Linked DNA regions of Pelodiscus sinensis. The protein of the gene in region 2 interacts with the protein of the main gene of each other region in a pairwise test. Links are inferred from orthologs where the notes say so. Each region holds a gene or a part of one and is shown on either strand. Other genes may lie near its edges.

The links. The genes of interacting proteins can lie anywhere in the genome.
Region 1: the proteins of BNIPL (region 2) and FAD-linked sulfhydryl oxidase ALR interact in a two-hybrid assay, tested with the Homo sapiens proteins (2 studies listed by BioGRID and IntAct). The link is inferred for Pelodiscus sinensis from reciprocal best matches to the Homo sapiens genes BNIPL and GFER.

Annotation. Positions count from the first base shown.
Region 1 is NC_134726.1:37,661,243-37,668,752, forward strand, and holds the start of FAD-linked sulfhydryl oxidase ALR, read left to right. Parts: upstream 1-4,491; 5' UTR 4,492-4,521; coding exon 4,522-4,695; intron 4,696-5,540; exon of another isoform or gene 5,541-5,542; coding exon of another isoform or gene 5,543-5,662; intron 5,663-5,836; coding exon 5,837-6,048; intron 6,049-7,510. Other genes in the region: FAD-linked sulfhydryl oxidase ALR-like, read left to right, coding at 2,740-2,902.
Region 2 is NC_134734.1:18,844,067-18,851,944, forward strand, and holds the start of BNIPL (bcl-2/adenovirus E1B 19 kDa-interacting protein 2-like protein), read left to right. Parts: upstream 1-4,863; 5' UTR 4,864-5,006; coding exon 5,007-5,050; intron 5,051-7,878. UniProt on the Homo sapiens protein: May be a bridge molecule between BCL2 and ARHGAP1/CDC42 in promoting cell death.

The sequences.
Region 1 (7,510 bases), on a different chromosome or scaffold from region 2:
TCCCAGTGGAGGCCACATTCAAAGGATCCCACCCATGGGCTGCATGTTGAGCCCTGCATAAACCCAAACTGCACCGTGGGCCACAAACAAATGGGCTGTGGGCCACATGTAGCCCATGGGCCATGTGGTGAGTAGCCCTGATCTACATGATGGAAGCTGGCTTCAGGTACTGGTCTCTGTTAACGCAGGCTATAAATCAATCTGTTTCCCAGTAGCCTTTTCACTAGGGATGTTAAATTTCGATTAATCAGCTAATCGAGCAGTCGATAGAATTTCCATCGACTACTCAATTCGTCGATAAAGGGAGTGCTCGCTATCCTGCTGCGCCTCTGCCTTTGAAATGTACGAGAGCCGCGGGCAGCTGTTGTATATTTCAAAGGCAGAGGTGCAGTGGGGAACCTGCGCAAGTGGGGACGGAAGCAGTCCCTGATCGTGTGAGGTCCCGACTGCTGTGCCTCTCCATGTACAACAGCTGCCCATGGCTCTTGTACATGTCAAAGGGAGAGGTGCAGCAATTGGGATGCCGCCAGAGCAGGGACTGCTTCCATCCATTTCCCCCGTTGTGCCTCTGCCTCACTTGCCCCTTTGCCGCACGGTGCTGGGAGCCACCAGCTTTTAAGCTAGATCCTCCCTGCACCTGCTCCTACTCCCCCGCCCTTGGTGCCTCTGATACAGAGGCAGCAAGAGGGCAGGGGGAAGCAACTAGTTAAGTAGTGACTCGACTACTCGATAATCCTAGGCTTATTGGGTAGTTGACTAGAAGCTTACCTCCCTACTTTTTACCAACCTGATATGATGTATGTGCTATGTTCAAATGCATCATAAGACATACAATGAGTAACACACAACTTCTGAATCAGCACAGGCTCCATGGGAGGAAATCCTGTTGCTCACAGGAGCTAATAGACCTGAAAGTGCTCCTACAGCAATAATGTTTTCAGTGCTTTGGAATAAGTTCCAGTTTATCACACTCTGTGGGAACCTATTACAGATACTGTGGATACAGTCAGCCTGTGTAATGCTGGTGAAAGTGACTTCCTGCTTCCAAAACAACCTCTACTACCCAGCAAGTAAAATAATCTGTTTCACAAACTTAACCAGCAGAAAGTCTCAGAGGGGTCGCTGTGTTAATCTGTAACTTTTAAAAAGCAATGAGTAGTCCTGTAGCATCTTAGGGCTCATCTAGACTACGCTAGAGTGTCAAAAGAGGATATGCAAATTCCATGAGAATTTGCATATCTTCTTCTGATCTCACTTTCAAAAGCTCCGCTTTCAAAAGTGAAAGACATGGCTTTTTCGGCGAAACACTCCTTTGTCGAAAAAACATGTAAACTTCATTTTTTGAGGAAGAGCAGCTTTTCAACAAGGGGGAAGAGGTGTCACCGAAAAAGACACATCTCAACTACTTTCACTTTTGAAAGCTCTGCTTTCGAAAGAGAGATCGGAAGAAGATATACAAATTCCCGCAGAATTTGCATATCCTCTTTCGACACTCTAGTGTAGTCTAGATGAGCCCTTAGAGACTAACAAATATATATATATTGTATCATGAGCTTTCATGGGCAAAATCCACTTCTTCAGATGAGCAGAGTGGAGAAAAAAGGGGGCACTTCACAATATATAACAGAAAAAGAAGGGAGAGCGAGAGAAAAGAAAAGAAAAAAAATCCGTCAATTGTAGTGATGGTGCTAATGAGGCTATTTGAGTGGGCTGGAAGTGTCCCTTACTTAGCTTTTCATGTCAATTGTGTATTGAATATAATGGCGTGTCCAGTTCATGTCTTTGTTCAGGTCATGAGAGATAGTGTCAAATTTGCATATGAAGGCAAGTTCCGCAGAAAGCAGGTAAACATTCGAGCAAGTCTGGTATATATTCTCTCCATTAGAGGGCAGCATTACACCTACTGTAAACTGGGGCAGAGATGTGAATGGTTAAACGGGTTTACCAGTTATGGTTAACCGGTTTACCAGTTATGGTTAACCGATGGCCTGGCCAGGATGGAGTGGCTCCCCCGCCCCCATTTAATTAGTCAACCAGTAAAATATAACATTTAACCAGTTAATGGAGATTTTACATCCCTAACCTGGAGCCTATTCATTACACACAATGAATTATAGTATACACAATGAACTGTATTATATTACTATTGTTATTACAATTGCAGTAGCACTCAAAATGTGCTAGATGCTCTCTAAATATAGATGAAGACCTAGTCTTTGCTGGGCAAGTGTTTAAAACCAAGAAGGGGTGAGTAGGGGGTTGTACTGGTGACATGAAACTGATTTTGAAAAAATTAATTACAAGGAGCCCAAAGTACACAACAGCTGAATGTTACTAAATCTGCCAAGAGGTTTCCTCTTGTAAAGAGCTAATCAATGGGAATATTTTAAGGTATTACTGAGCCCCGAGAATGCATTGGTTTGCAGAGGCAAAGCAGTTTGGACAGGGCCATCCAAACTTTGCTCATCAATAACTTGGTAGGAGCCTGAAGAGCTATAAAATGGAATAGACTCTATATGCCTCAACATTAATTAGAGTTATTAGTTATTAAGATATGGCCTATGGAGGAGACAAGAATCTACATGATGTGTTTCACTTTCATCAGCGGAGGTTGCTCAGATCAAGATGGTGCATGGGACAACAACTCTGCAGACACTTCAGTGACTCTTTGTTTGAAAAGCATAATCAATGATTCTGGACTAAAGTAAGTAGTGTTTTGATTCTTTTCTACCTCTGCAGATTAAGCATAAAGAAGCCAGACACCAGAAGCAGGAAGAATCTATCCCAATGGATGTGTCTGCTTCATAACGATGTGAACAAGATGTTGGGCAAACCCAAGTATGACTGCTCTCAGATGGACAAACGCTGGCGAAAGGGCTGGAAGGGTGGTTCCTGTGTCTAGATTATAGAGATGCCATTGGAAATAAGACTGAAGCTATTATCATTAAAATAAAATTAAGAACTGAACCTGGTGCAATATAATTAAGAACACCACAAGTAAACACATGTGGATGTTTTTCCTCTCTCTCTGAAATGTTTTTATTCTCTCAAGAAGCTTACTATTTGTCTCTGCAACACAGAGATCCATGCTGCAACTGAATTCTCAAGGAAAAAAATCCAATTGTAAGTGATTATGAAGCTGCTAAGACTTAAGACCTTAGGCTGGTCATGGGAACAAGTTCATAAATCACAGCAGAAATGCTGACAAGTTTTGCCTTTTTGTTTCCTTTACTCAGGGATGCCTGTGTCTTAGACCAATTAATAGGGACTAGAATAATGAAGTCACCTTTAGCCCCAATTAAGTGTTTGAGAACATGTGGGATTATAACATTTTTGTTAAAAATAATTAAACATTAGGCTGTCCCTGCTAATGGCAAACATGTATTTAAGTGGTTATCCTGTGTTGTATTTGCCCAAAACAGCTTTGAAACTTCAGCCATTTTGGGACTTCTAGCTAACGGTTTCACAATCAGAATTTTGTAAATGAGAAAATGTTTTTTTTCCATGTATGCCAAACTCATAAATGGCCGCATAATTTTTTTCAAAGTCAGTTTTCCTGCTCAGGTTCTCACTACAGACAAATCTATGTAGGTCTTTGTGGATTATTTTATCCTATTAAAAATCAGTTCTGTGTATGGGCCAGATGCAAAGCCCAAAAGAAGACTATGAGAATCTTTCCACTGATTTCAACAGGCTTCCAATCACTTTCTATGGATTTAATACATTTAAATATTTCTAAAACACTTAAGTCAGTGGCGGGGGAAACCCACGCCGTGCAATAACTGTTTCCAAACTGAGCGCTCATATGGTTATGCTGAACAGCCTTTGGTGCATGTTAGTGAATGTATCTATTCTTTCCATTTTCCTGCCTGTTAAGTTAGGAGGGGTACCCATTGTGCATTTAGGCAAGCACTTAGGCTAGGGGTGGGTAAATACCAGTCTATGGGCCAGCTCCAGCTCCCTAGGATTAACCCCCGGTTGGCCGCCACAATATTCACCTGGGCTTCTGCACATACAGGTAGGTGTCTGCAGCTCCTGTTGGCCATGGAACACCAATCCCGGCCAACGGGAGCTGCGGGAATTGGCGTCCCAGTCCGGCATCTCTTGGCCAGGAACAGCGCCCTGGGGCCAAGGGGAGCTGCACTGGCCAGTACCTGGAGAGGTAAATACAGCGGCGGTGGCCCACCACGTTGTACTGCCCAGCCCTGACTTCAGCTCAGGGTCTGCTTGAAATGCAAGAGCCGCACTGGTGGCAATGGGCCAGGCCTGCACGCCAAGCACCGGGGGAGGCCAGGCTCCCAGGGCCTCTGCTGCTCGGATGCTGTCCAGAGCTGACACCGGGCTTTCCCCTCAGGAGGGGCCACGCTGGGGGGTTACCACAGAGAGGGGGGGCCCCCCAGGGACGAGACTCTCCTTGTCTTCCTGGCCCTCTCGGTCTCCTCGTCCGAGGCCCCGCCCGGCCCTTCCCGCCGCCTCAGCCCCGGGCTCGCCGAGCGGGGGAAAAAGGCCACCCGGCCCAACATGCTTTGCGGTTCCAAGATGGCGGCGCCCAGCGAGAGCCCGGCTGCCGGCCCCGGCGCGTTGCCTTTCCCGCCGGGCGCCGGGCCGGGGCCCCGCAAGAAGCCGTGCCGGGCCTGCACGGATTTCCGGAGCTGGATCCGGGAGCAGCGGAAGCAGACGGCCCCGCCGAGCGGGGTGAGGGGGGCCCCCTTCGGGAACGGCCCCGCCGCCTCGCCCCACAGGCTGTGCCTGGAGAGCCCCCACCCCTCACCGGCAGGGATTGGGGGGCTGGCCGCGCCTCCCCAGGCTGGTGGGGGGTATGAATGGGAACCTGTGCCTCCCCCCCCCCATGCCCTTTCCCAAGCCATGGCTGATGGGGGAGTATGAATGAGAGACACCCAACCACCCCCTCGTGAGCAATGGCTGATAGAGTCCAAATTAACCCAAATTAACCCCTTCCCCGGCTGATGCGGGAGTATCCCTGTCCTCCCCCTGCACTGCCCTTCACAGACCGTGGCTGATGGGGGAGTATGACTAGGAACTCCTGTCGTTCCCCCCTTCACAGGCCATGGTTAACAAGGTGGTAATTAGGCACCTTTTTAGAACTCCCCTTCACAGGCTATGGTTGATGAGGGAGTAAAAATGAGAGACACCCACCCATCACCTCATGAGCAATGGCTGATAATAGAAATGAACCCTTTTATGCTTCACTAGCTGTAGTTGATAGGCGAGTATGAAAGACACACACACTCCAGAACTCCCTTTCATAAGCCCCGTGGTTCACGGAGTACAAATGAGAGACCGCCTCAGAACTCCCTTTTATACTTCCCAGTCAACCACAGCCTGTGAATGAGACCTTCCACACCACACTGGTATTGGTTGATGAGGGAATATGAAATGAGGACCCAACCTCTCAGAAGGAATGGGGGGAGTACAAATGACCTTCTTCTCCCCCCCCCCCCCCCCCCCCCCCGCCCCGCGTGAGCAGTGGTTGATGGAAGAATGAGAGTCACATTTGTCCCAGATCTCCCCTTTGTAGGCTATGGGTGAAAGGGTAGGAATAAAACACATTCCTGGAACTCCCTCTTCACAGGCAATGGTTGATGGGCAGAAGGAGTATGAGACCTTAGGCAAATTAACCTCCCTGTGCCCCCTACCAAAGGTGAATCATATTTGTCCACCTCATTTAAGGAGGTTTTATTAGCTAATATCTGTATGGCCTCGGATTGAAGATGCTCCAAAACCACAGAGCATTTGGTATTAGTGTCATATGATACTCATTTTTGTAGTCTTAGTATAAATGTGTACACATAATCTTCCTGTTTTTCTGACCCAGGAAACAGATGTTGAAGAGGAGAAGGAGAAGCCTCCAGATTGTCCTCTGGACAGAGAAGAACTTGGAAGAAACACATGGTCTTTCCTTCATACTATGGCAGCATATTACCCAGATCATCCCAGCAATGCCCAACAACAAGAGATGTCACAGTTCATTAACTTATTTTCCAAGTTTTTCCCTTGTGAAGAATGCGCAGAAGATCTGAGGGAAAGGTGAGGCTTTTCAAAATATATCTGCAGATAAGAGAGAGTTGCCAGGTATCTAGTTTTAAGGGACCTTGAGGATCCGGCCAGCATTGCCAACTGGCCCATTAAAAGAGCTGAGTTAAGATCCCTACTGCTCTGGCTCCATGCTGTTCCTGTAAGTGGCCACCAAGTCCCTGAGGCTAGGCACTGAGGTGGCCAGGGGCTAGGAGGCTCCGTGCTTTGACCCTGCCCCAAGTGTCGGCTCCAGAGCTCCATTTGACTAGGAAGCGTGACCAATGTGAGCTGCCAAGGGCAGTGCACAGAGCTTCTCTGGCTCCAACCTAGCAGCCACTTCCTAAGAGCCATGTTAAGCATCGTCAAGACCCTACACCCCAAATCCCCTTCCTCATCCCAAGCTCTTCCTCCCCAGCCCCACCTACAGCTTGAGCGTGACCAGCCTCACCCTCTCTCAAACCCCTACCCCACCATGGAATCCTCTCCTGCACCCTGAATTCCTATTTTGGCCCCACCCAGAGCCTGCACCCCCAGCCAGAATCCTCACCCCCGGTGGACTCCAACTCTCTTCCCCGCTATATGTCGCTTCGTGTACATCCATTCCACACTAAAGTCGTTGATGCTTGTAGGAACTGATGCATTATAAGTCCTCCCATTTCCCACTCTTACGTTGCGTGCCAAAAAAACCCAAACAATTTGTGCAAATGGAAGTTAGCCATGGGGAAAAAAATTCCCAGCTTTAAGTTGTTTTGCTATAAGTCCCAAGTTTTTTGGAATGTATCTTGGACTTATAACGAGGACGGCCTGTATTGTGCAATTAGAAAGTTGGCAATCCTAGTAAGAGATCTACTTAAAGTGTTGGGCTCTAATAGCCTCGTTTTAGATCAACATTTGTTGGTATCTTTATAACTATTTTGTATTGTATTTTGTGTTACAAAGATGTTGTTTTATGATTGAATAAATCATAAACAAAGACCCAGGACATACACATTCAGAAGACAAACACCCAACTGCTTTCAGACAGCACAGTAGCTCCCAGAACTAAATGGAGTTTGGGTTGTTTGCTGGTTCAAATCTCGCTCAGATGAGTAGTGACAGTTTTACCATTGTACAGCTGTTTGGTGGCCTTTTGGGGGGCTTAGTGTCACTTTCATTAGACAGGTGTCTGCATCACAAAAACACCACAATAATTGGCTGTGGTGTGACATTCTGAACAGAGGCTCATGGGTCTCATGACTAGATGGACTGTGCGGTTTGGTAATCTCTCTCTCTATATATAAAAAAGTTTTTCCTGCCATGTGACGTAGAGAGCAGGGCGCAGCCCCCTGGTACTTTAAAGTCTTGTTCTTGTCAACAGTGAGATTCTAGGAAAAGTTTATCAGATTCCAAGAAGCAAACTTAAGAATCTCTGGTATCAAATCAGTGTCCTAACCTCGCAGGCAAAGAGAACTGCATGAAGAAATGTATACAAGTG
Region 2 (7,878 bases):
GGAAGGAAGGTAAGTGTCTGTGAATTGATGATATTAAAGGTAGGGAGAGTGGGATGTTTGTGAGTTAATGGTATTACAGGTGATAATTGGGGAAACTGTCTTGGTAATGGGTGAGATAGTTCAAATTCTTGTTAAGTCCTTGTTGGCAAGTGTCGAATTTTAACATGAATGACAGTTCAGAGGATTCCCTTTCAAGTGCAGATGTAAAAGGTCTTTGTAGCAGAATGCAGGTGGCTAAGTCATTTAGAGAGTGTCCTTTCTGGTTAAAGTGGCAAGAAACTTTCTTGCCACTTTAACCAGAAAGGACACTCTCTAAATGACTTAGCCACCTGCATTCTGCTACAAAGACCTTTTACATCTGCACTTGAAAGGGAATCCTCTGAACTGTCATTCATGTTAAAATTCGACACTTGCCAACAAGGACTTAACAAGAATTTGAACTATCTCACCCATTACCAAGACAGTTTCCCCAATTATCACCTGTAATACCATTAACTCACAAACATCCCACTCTCCCTACCTTTAATATCATCAATTCACAGACACTTACCTTCCTTCCTCCCCCTCCCCCCCCCCCCCGCATCCCCCTTCTGTTCTGCAATGTGATTTGTCCTTTTCATATTTGTTCACTTTTTTTAATTGTATCCTTTGGTATATATGGTTGTGACTATTTTCTTCCACTATTTGATCTGAGGAAGTGGGTCTGGCCCACGAAAGCTCATCATCTAATAAACCATCTTGTTAGTCTTTAAAGTGCTACATTGTCCTGCATTTTGCTTCAACTACCCCAGACTAACACGGCTACATTTCTATCACTATCTGTCACACTCTTCCCCTTAGCTTGCAAGCAGAACCAGGAAACCCCCTGAAATGGCAAGTGAGAGCTTACACTTATAAACTGTTTCAAAACACCCCAAGCCCAAGGAAGTGGTGAATAGGCCCATGCTGGCCACCATAAAAGCCTGAAAGCTGAGGCATGCCAGCTGGGCACCCACCTCCTTTTCCAAGGCTTCTTTGGAAATCTGAGTCTAAACTCTCCTTTTCTCCTGCCAGAGCTGGGTGAAAGGTCCTTTGTAAAGGGAAAAGTAAACCAGGTCCACACCCATATTTTTGTCTGCCTTGTTTGGTTTAAAGAATTGAAAGGCTTTTGAAACCGGCTCTGCTTGGTTTTATACGTTTAGAAAAGTCTCCTTTTTTGCGGAAAGGGTTCCGAGAACCAAGTGAGGGGCAGGAGATGGGAGGATCTTTAACAAAGAGAACATTCTTCCCAACTGCTTACCTAGCGTTTGAGTGAAATCAAATTTAAGCTCAAATGCTCACCTAAGACTGGAAAGGATCTTTTCATTTTTTGCTTTCTTTGCCAGGTTGCTGTTTAAACACATTTATAAATGAGGCTTTGCCTCGACTTGCTTTTTTTTCCAGTCAAATATGTAACCGAAGCTCCTGTATTTACCTAATAGTTCCTGGCAGCATCTATTTGTAATGAGGAAAATAAATGTTTGATTTTTGCGGCTTGAACAGCAAAACACAATAGCTGAGGTGCCAAGTAGGGTTCGTTCTCCCCTATCTTTGCCAGCTATGCAGTTTGATTGCTTAGTTTTGAAAGGGCAGTGGAGGAGAGAACAGAAAAATCTTTGCAGGCCTGTTCCTGAATTAGTGGAGAATTGGCAAGATTATGCCATGCAAAATAATGAAACTGGATTAAGATGGGAAGTGGCTTTGAACCAGACTCAGTCAAACTTTTTGTTGTTGTCAACACCAATTTAACTCAAACACCTATGGGGAGAAAAACTTTCTTTGTTAAAGATACAACAGTCCCTATGCTTAAAGGCTGAAAGACACTCACAATCTACATTGCTGGACTCTGCAAAAAGCCTTAGGGTTGTTCTTTTTAAAAAAAATCCCTACTTTGATGAATCCGTTCAACTATGCGAACACGAAGGCTGCAGGCTCAGCAAAGCAGAAAGACCAGTCTTCCCAGAATTCCTCAGTGAGTGTCCGTTCATTCCACTCTGGAAGCATGACATCATCAGAGCATGCTCCCATTGGCCGAGCAATACCGCCGAGGGCAGATGCAAACCCAGCTGACAGACGCACAGGGCCAATCATCAGATCCCACCTGGGTTGGAAAAGCCTCCCTTGAATGAAAACTGAAGAGGGTATGTGCACGAGCGTGCATAAGTGTGCGCATGGGTGTGTGCTTAGAGATTGTACAGCCTGAGGGCCCTATTAGCTCACTGGGTCTGCCCTGTATAAGAGAGGCTGCAGAATTTCTCCCTAATACCTGATTGGAGTTTTGTTTTAAAGGGCTGCGGGGGGATATGAACTGTGGACTAATCGTGATGAATCCAGGGAAGATTCAGCCCTGAATTCTGAACCCCCTTTGCTGAATAATGGAAACCCCACGTGTCATAGGCCCTGACTCGATGGTTGCTCCGGGGCTGGAGTGCCCATGGGGAAAAAATGGGGGTGTGAAGCATCCACCGACCCCAAGCTCCCCGATCTGTCTCCCTCCCCCACCCCGCACCTTTCCTGTGCCAGTGGCCCAGCTGACCAACTCCTCCCCCTCCCTTCCAGCTCTTTTGGAATGCTGAGGACAGCTGATTCCTGGTGTTCAGGAAGCGCTGGGAGGGAGTGGGAGGAAGATGGGGCAGGCTTGGAGAGGAGGCAGAGTGGAGGCGGGGGCTTGGAGGAAGGGGTGGAGTGGAGGTGGAGTTGGGGCGGGGCTTAGGGGAAGGGGTGGACTGAGGGCATAGAATCATAGAATACTAGGACTGGAAGGGACCTCGAGAGGGCATGGCCGGGGCAAAGCAACGGTGGAGCATCCCCCAGCTGGAGAGGAAGTCGGTGCCTATGGCTTGTGTTATATTTATTTATAATACAGGTTGAACCTCTTTGGTCCGGCAACCTCCGTGGTCTGGCATGATTTTAGCTAGCCAGATGTCTACTGATCATGGGTGTGGCCAAGTTTCCCACGGTCCCATAAAGTTTACAGCCACCCGTCCTGGCTGTCAGTGTTCTGTGCTGCAATTTAGCTCTCCCTGAATGTCTTCTCAAAGCCCCGCCAGCAGCGGCAGTGTTGCTAATGCTGCTAGACAGTGTTGACCTCCTGTAGTCTGGCAAATTCTCAGGTTTGGCACCAGCCCGGTCCCAAGGGTGCCGGACTAGAGAGGTTCAGCCTGTAGCAGGGCAATTTAAGGCCCAAACTGAGATCAGTGCGTCAACTGGGCGGGATGTTGCACAGACACACACAGGGAGACTCTGCCCCAAAGAGCTGCCAGTCTGGCCAAAGACAGGCTTACAACTGGTTGTCGTTTTACAGACAGGGAAAGGGAGGTTTGGCGCGATGGTGCGGCATGTCGATGGTCACCCTGGGAGCGGGTGGCAGAGCTAGAAGCTGCTCGCAAAGGTTCTAGTCCTGACTCAGCCCCAAGGCCATTCTGCCGGTTAATTAGAGGAGGGCAAAGGCCTAACAGCTTTTGGGGTCCATTGGGTGGCTGATGTGGAGGGAAGAGGAAGCTAGTGTGGCGGGGGCGGGGGCTTAGATCCGGGGAAGTTGGTGGGGGCCATGTTGCTGCAGTAACCCAGGCACTGAATGTGGCTCTGGGCAGGAGCTGTTGTGGGTTTTGTAGTGAATCAGGCACCTCTGAGTCAGTGGAAAAGCTGAGCCGGGCGTGGAGGCCGGAGGGGAGTTTGCTGGTGTTGGTAATGGCCCTTGTCGTGTACCCTGGAGGCCGGCCCACCTGTCCGTGCTGCCAAGTGCACGCTCCAGACAGTTAGGAGGGATTTTCATTTGAGCAGCTCAAATGAAGCTTCCTGCTGGGGCCTCGTATTCCTCCATCCTGGGGTTCCTGCCTCACGAAAGCCCTGCCACCGAGAGAGGCTGGAGATCGCAAAGCTCCTTCATGATTAAGACCCCATCTTTTTGCTCTCTCTGTGTGCAGCACCTAGTGCATCTAGGAACCACTGTGATGCAGAGGAGGCCTTTGACTTTGGATCCCTCGGGGCTCCTTCCTTAATTGGCGGGGGGGTGGGAGGTGAATCGTGATTAATGCCTAGCACCCATTATCCGTTTGCCCTCCCCCCTAAAGGGCTGAGTGAGCTGCTGTTTCAGAGTGCTCGGCTTTAGCCAGTCAAGCCTCTTGCAGGGAATAGAGGGGGGCACTGTTCTGCATTGGAAGGGGGAAACTGAGGCATGGAGACTGGCCTGAGGTCACCAAATGAGGCAGCAGCAGAGCCTGGAATAGGACACAGCAGGGTCCCTCTGTCGCCGATAACTATCCCCCTCCACCCCCGCAGAGGAGGGGGCTCTTTTTGTCAGATCCCCATGGCAGCTTGTTTGGTCATGCTGTGCCTGGGAACAGTCTAATGCCAGGACAGGGTAATCCTGCTCCATTGTTACCTACCCCTGCAGACCCCAGGTTTGGCCTGAAATGGGTTGGGATCCAGGGATTCTGTCTGAAGCCGTCCATTACGATGGAGCCCTGGGCCTGCCCCTGCCTTCCTCAGCCCAGATATAGCAGCAGGCAAACCGGGGGTAATAGGAAGCATCCTCACTCCTCATCCCCCAGCCCAAACCAGGGATGCCCAGAGGATTCAGGAGGTCTGGGGGAAAGCAATTTCGGGGGGGGGGGGCTTCCTGGCACTCCCTGTCTCAGACTTCAGACATTCTCATGGGGGCCCCTGCAGGGCCTGGGGCAAATTGCCCCACTTGTCCCCCTCCCCCGGGCAGCCCTGAGCCAAACACACACACTTCTGCCACTTTAGGGCTTTGTCCACAGGGCGGAGAAATGGGCACTAGGACCCAGCAAATTCTCACCAGGTGGAGTCAGGTGTTTATGCAGATAAACCAGTTTAGGATGAGCAGTCTGGGTGGTAACTGGTGTTGTCCTGTGATCTGATCTGCAGGAAGGGAGGAACAGCCAGGAAAATCCACTGAGGATCTGTCTTCCAAAGAAGTGGGGGAAAACCCAGTGAACTTCTGCGTTTTGGGGAAGGCTGGAACAATGGGCTCCTACGTGGACTATGGTGAGAAACTCCAGCCTCAAAGGTGAGCTTTGATGCCAGTCAGGGCGGATTCTGATCTCGGTTAATCCAGACCAGTGGTTCTCCACCAGGGGTACATGAACCACGAGGGGTAGGCAGAAGTCTGCCAGGGGGTACATCAACTCATCCAGGTATTTGCCTAGTTTTACAACAAGCTACATAAAAAGCCCTGGTAAAGTTAGTAACAACTAAAATTTCATACCACCAATGAGTTGTTTATACTGCTCTCTGTGCAATACCCTGAGATGGAAGCCCGGTATTTATATTGCGTTTGATATATGTTATAATTACAGGTTAACCATGCAAAAATCAGCAATTTTTGAGTAATAGTGTGGTGTGACTTTTGTGTGCATGTGTGTCTGGTTGTGTTGTGAGTAATTTTTCAGTGAGGTAAAACTTAGGGGCATGCAAGGGATCCAGTAGTCTGGAAAGATTGAGAGCCACTGATCTGAAGCGACTCCACTCCAGTGTAAATGGGGTCAGCAGTATCCTATGCTGTTCGAATCTAGCTTGGGAAATTCAGGTTCCCCGGCCGCTGGCCAGGCCAATGAGATGGGCAGCTTCAGGATTCTCTCTAGTCTAGTCTGTGTGTCTCTGGTAGTGCCTATCTGTGCTCAGTGGAACCTGCAAACATCTTTTGCGGGTGTTAAGAGAGGCACCCGGAAAGTCAGGGTGTTACCCTGGGTGTTTTGTGGCTTGACTGACTGTCTCATACTGTGCCTGGCCTTTCAGGCAGGCTGACAAATCCATCTCAGAAAGTGATAGTTTCTGAACGTGGGGCCCAATCCTGTATGATTTTATGAGAAGCAATTCCATTCCATGCACATCCCATTTTCCTGGCACAGCCAAAACTTTACCTGGCTTTAAGTTATGATACAAGGAAGCTGAATACTGAATTTAGTGGTCCTAGCTCTTAGGAGGAGTTCTTGAACAACATACAGACAGACAGACTCTCTCAAATATACAGTAGGGCTGTGTCTAGACTGGCAAGTTTTTCCGCAAAATGAGATGATTTTGCGGAAAAACTTGCCAGCTGTCTACACTGGCCGCTTGAATTTCTGCAAAACACTGACGATCTCATGTAAGATCGTCAGTGTTCTTGCGGAAATACTATGCTGCTCCCGTTCGGGCAAAAGTCTTTTTCCGAAAGACTTTTACGCAAAAGGGCCAGTGTAGACAGCACAATAGTGTTTTCCGCAAAAAAGTCCCGATCGCGAAAATGGCGTTTGGGGCTTTTTTGCGGAAAACCGCGTCTAGATTGGCCACGGACGCTTTTCCACAAAAAGTGCTTTTGCGGAAAAGCATCCTGCCAATCTAGACGTGCTTTTCCGAAAATGCTTTTAACAGAAAACTTTTCCGTTAAAAGCATTTTCGGAAAATCATGCCAGTGTAGACGTAGCCTAGATGTTTTAAATGTAAAATGTTAAACAAAATTAAAACAAAATGTTCCACTTCAAGATGAATGAAACGATTCCTATGATTTGAAACTTTAAACAAAATTTTTTTATTTTCCAAAAAATTTGAGTTTGGATTGAATAAAAAAAATTCCTGCTTTTTTGCACTTGCCAGGGACCTGAAAAATCAGTGATTCCCACAGCTCAATTTAAGATGCTCAGAAGGGGCGTGGGCAAAATCCAGCTCTTGCTGAAATCACAGGCAACATTCCAGTGACTTCAAGGGGCTCCAGGACTTTTTACCTGTGGTGTTCAGATCAAATAGGGGTGCAAGCAATTTCTGGAAATCATGCCCTCCCTTGGGCTGCCTTGTCAAGTTAGACTGGGCACTCCTCACGGTCTCTCTCGTTATTTTGGGGAAGGTCTCTGGTCTGTACTATGCAGGGCATTACATTGGATGATCACAGTGGGGTCCCTTCTGGGCTTAGAATCGATGGATTTGGGTTAGCAGGGTATTCGGGAGTTGAAGCAGGCTCAGCTACTGCTCCCAGGGTGGTGAAAAGACTTGAGAGCCCATGTTAACCTTCAGAAGGGAAGTAGGGCAGAATCACTGGAGAATTATACCGAGACTTGCCCCAGCCACTGCGTGACTTGTTTGTTTTCTTTGAAGGAGGGTGGAGCAGAAAGCCCTTGCGGTGGAACAAAGGAGGGCGGATGTCTCCTTGTCTCTGCACCTCTTTCCTCTGAGAGCAGGGCAAAGAGAGAGGAAGTGGTGGGACTGGAAGCTCTGCCCACAACCCTGTGCTCCTCCCTCATCCCCTCCCTCGCCTTAAAATGAGAAGGAACGAAATAGCAAAAGTTAGTGACCAGCAGTAGGGTTCAGAGTCAACGTGCCGCCTGCCAGTAAAGTGCTTCCCCGAGGATTCTGTAACTTGTCCTGTTGCAACGGCAGGTGCAGCGTTGCCAAGTGGGAGGCGATTCTGTGGGAGCTGGGTTTTAAGCCAGAGTGCTGGACGTTGCACCTGACGGGGGATTTTGTAGCCCATACACCTCCATCAAGTCCACACTGATTCACAAGGGCAGAGTGCATCCTGCAAATTTGCAGACACTGCTTCCGGTAGCAGCCTGGCTTTTCTTTCGAGGTTTCCCATCCAAGTATTGAGCATCGAGGCAGTGTGGCCTAGTGGACAGAGCACACACTGGGAATCTGCGCTTCATTTGCATTTTCTATTTCCCTCATTTGCATTCCTCTTTCGAAAGAGGAATGTAGTCTAGATGCACCCACTGGGACTTGGGGAGCCAGCATTCTCTTCCTAGCTCTGCCACTGGCCCGCTATATAACCTTGGGCAAGTTGCTTTGCCTCACCGTGCTCAGTTTCCCCTCCTGTAAAATGGGGATGGTAATACTATTGACTTATTTTAAGACCTAGGTAGGTAG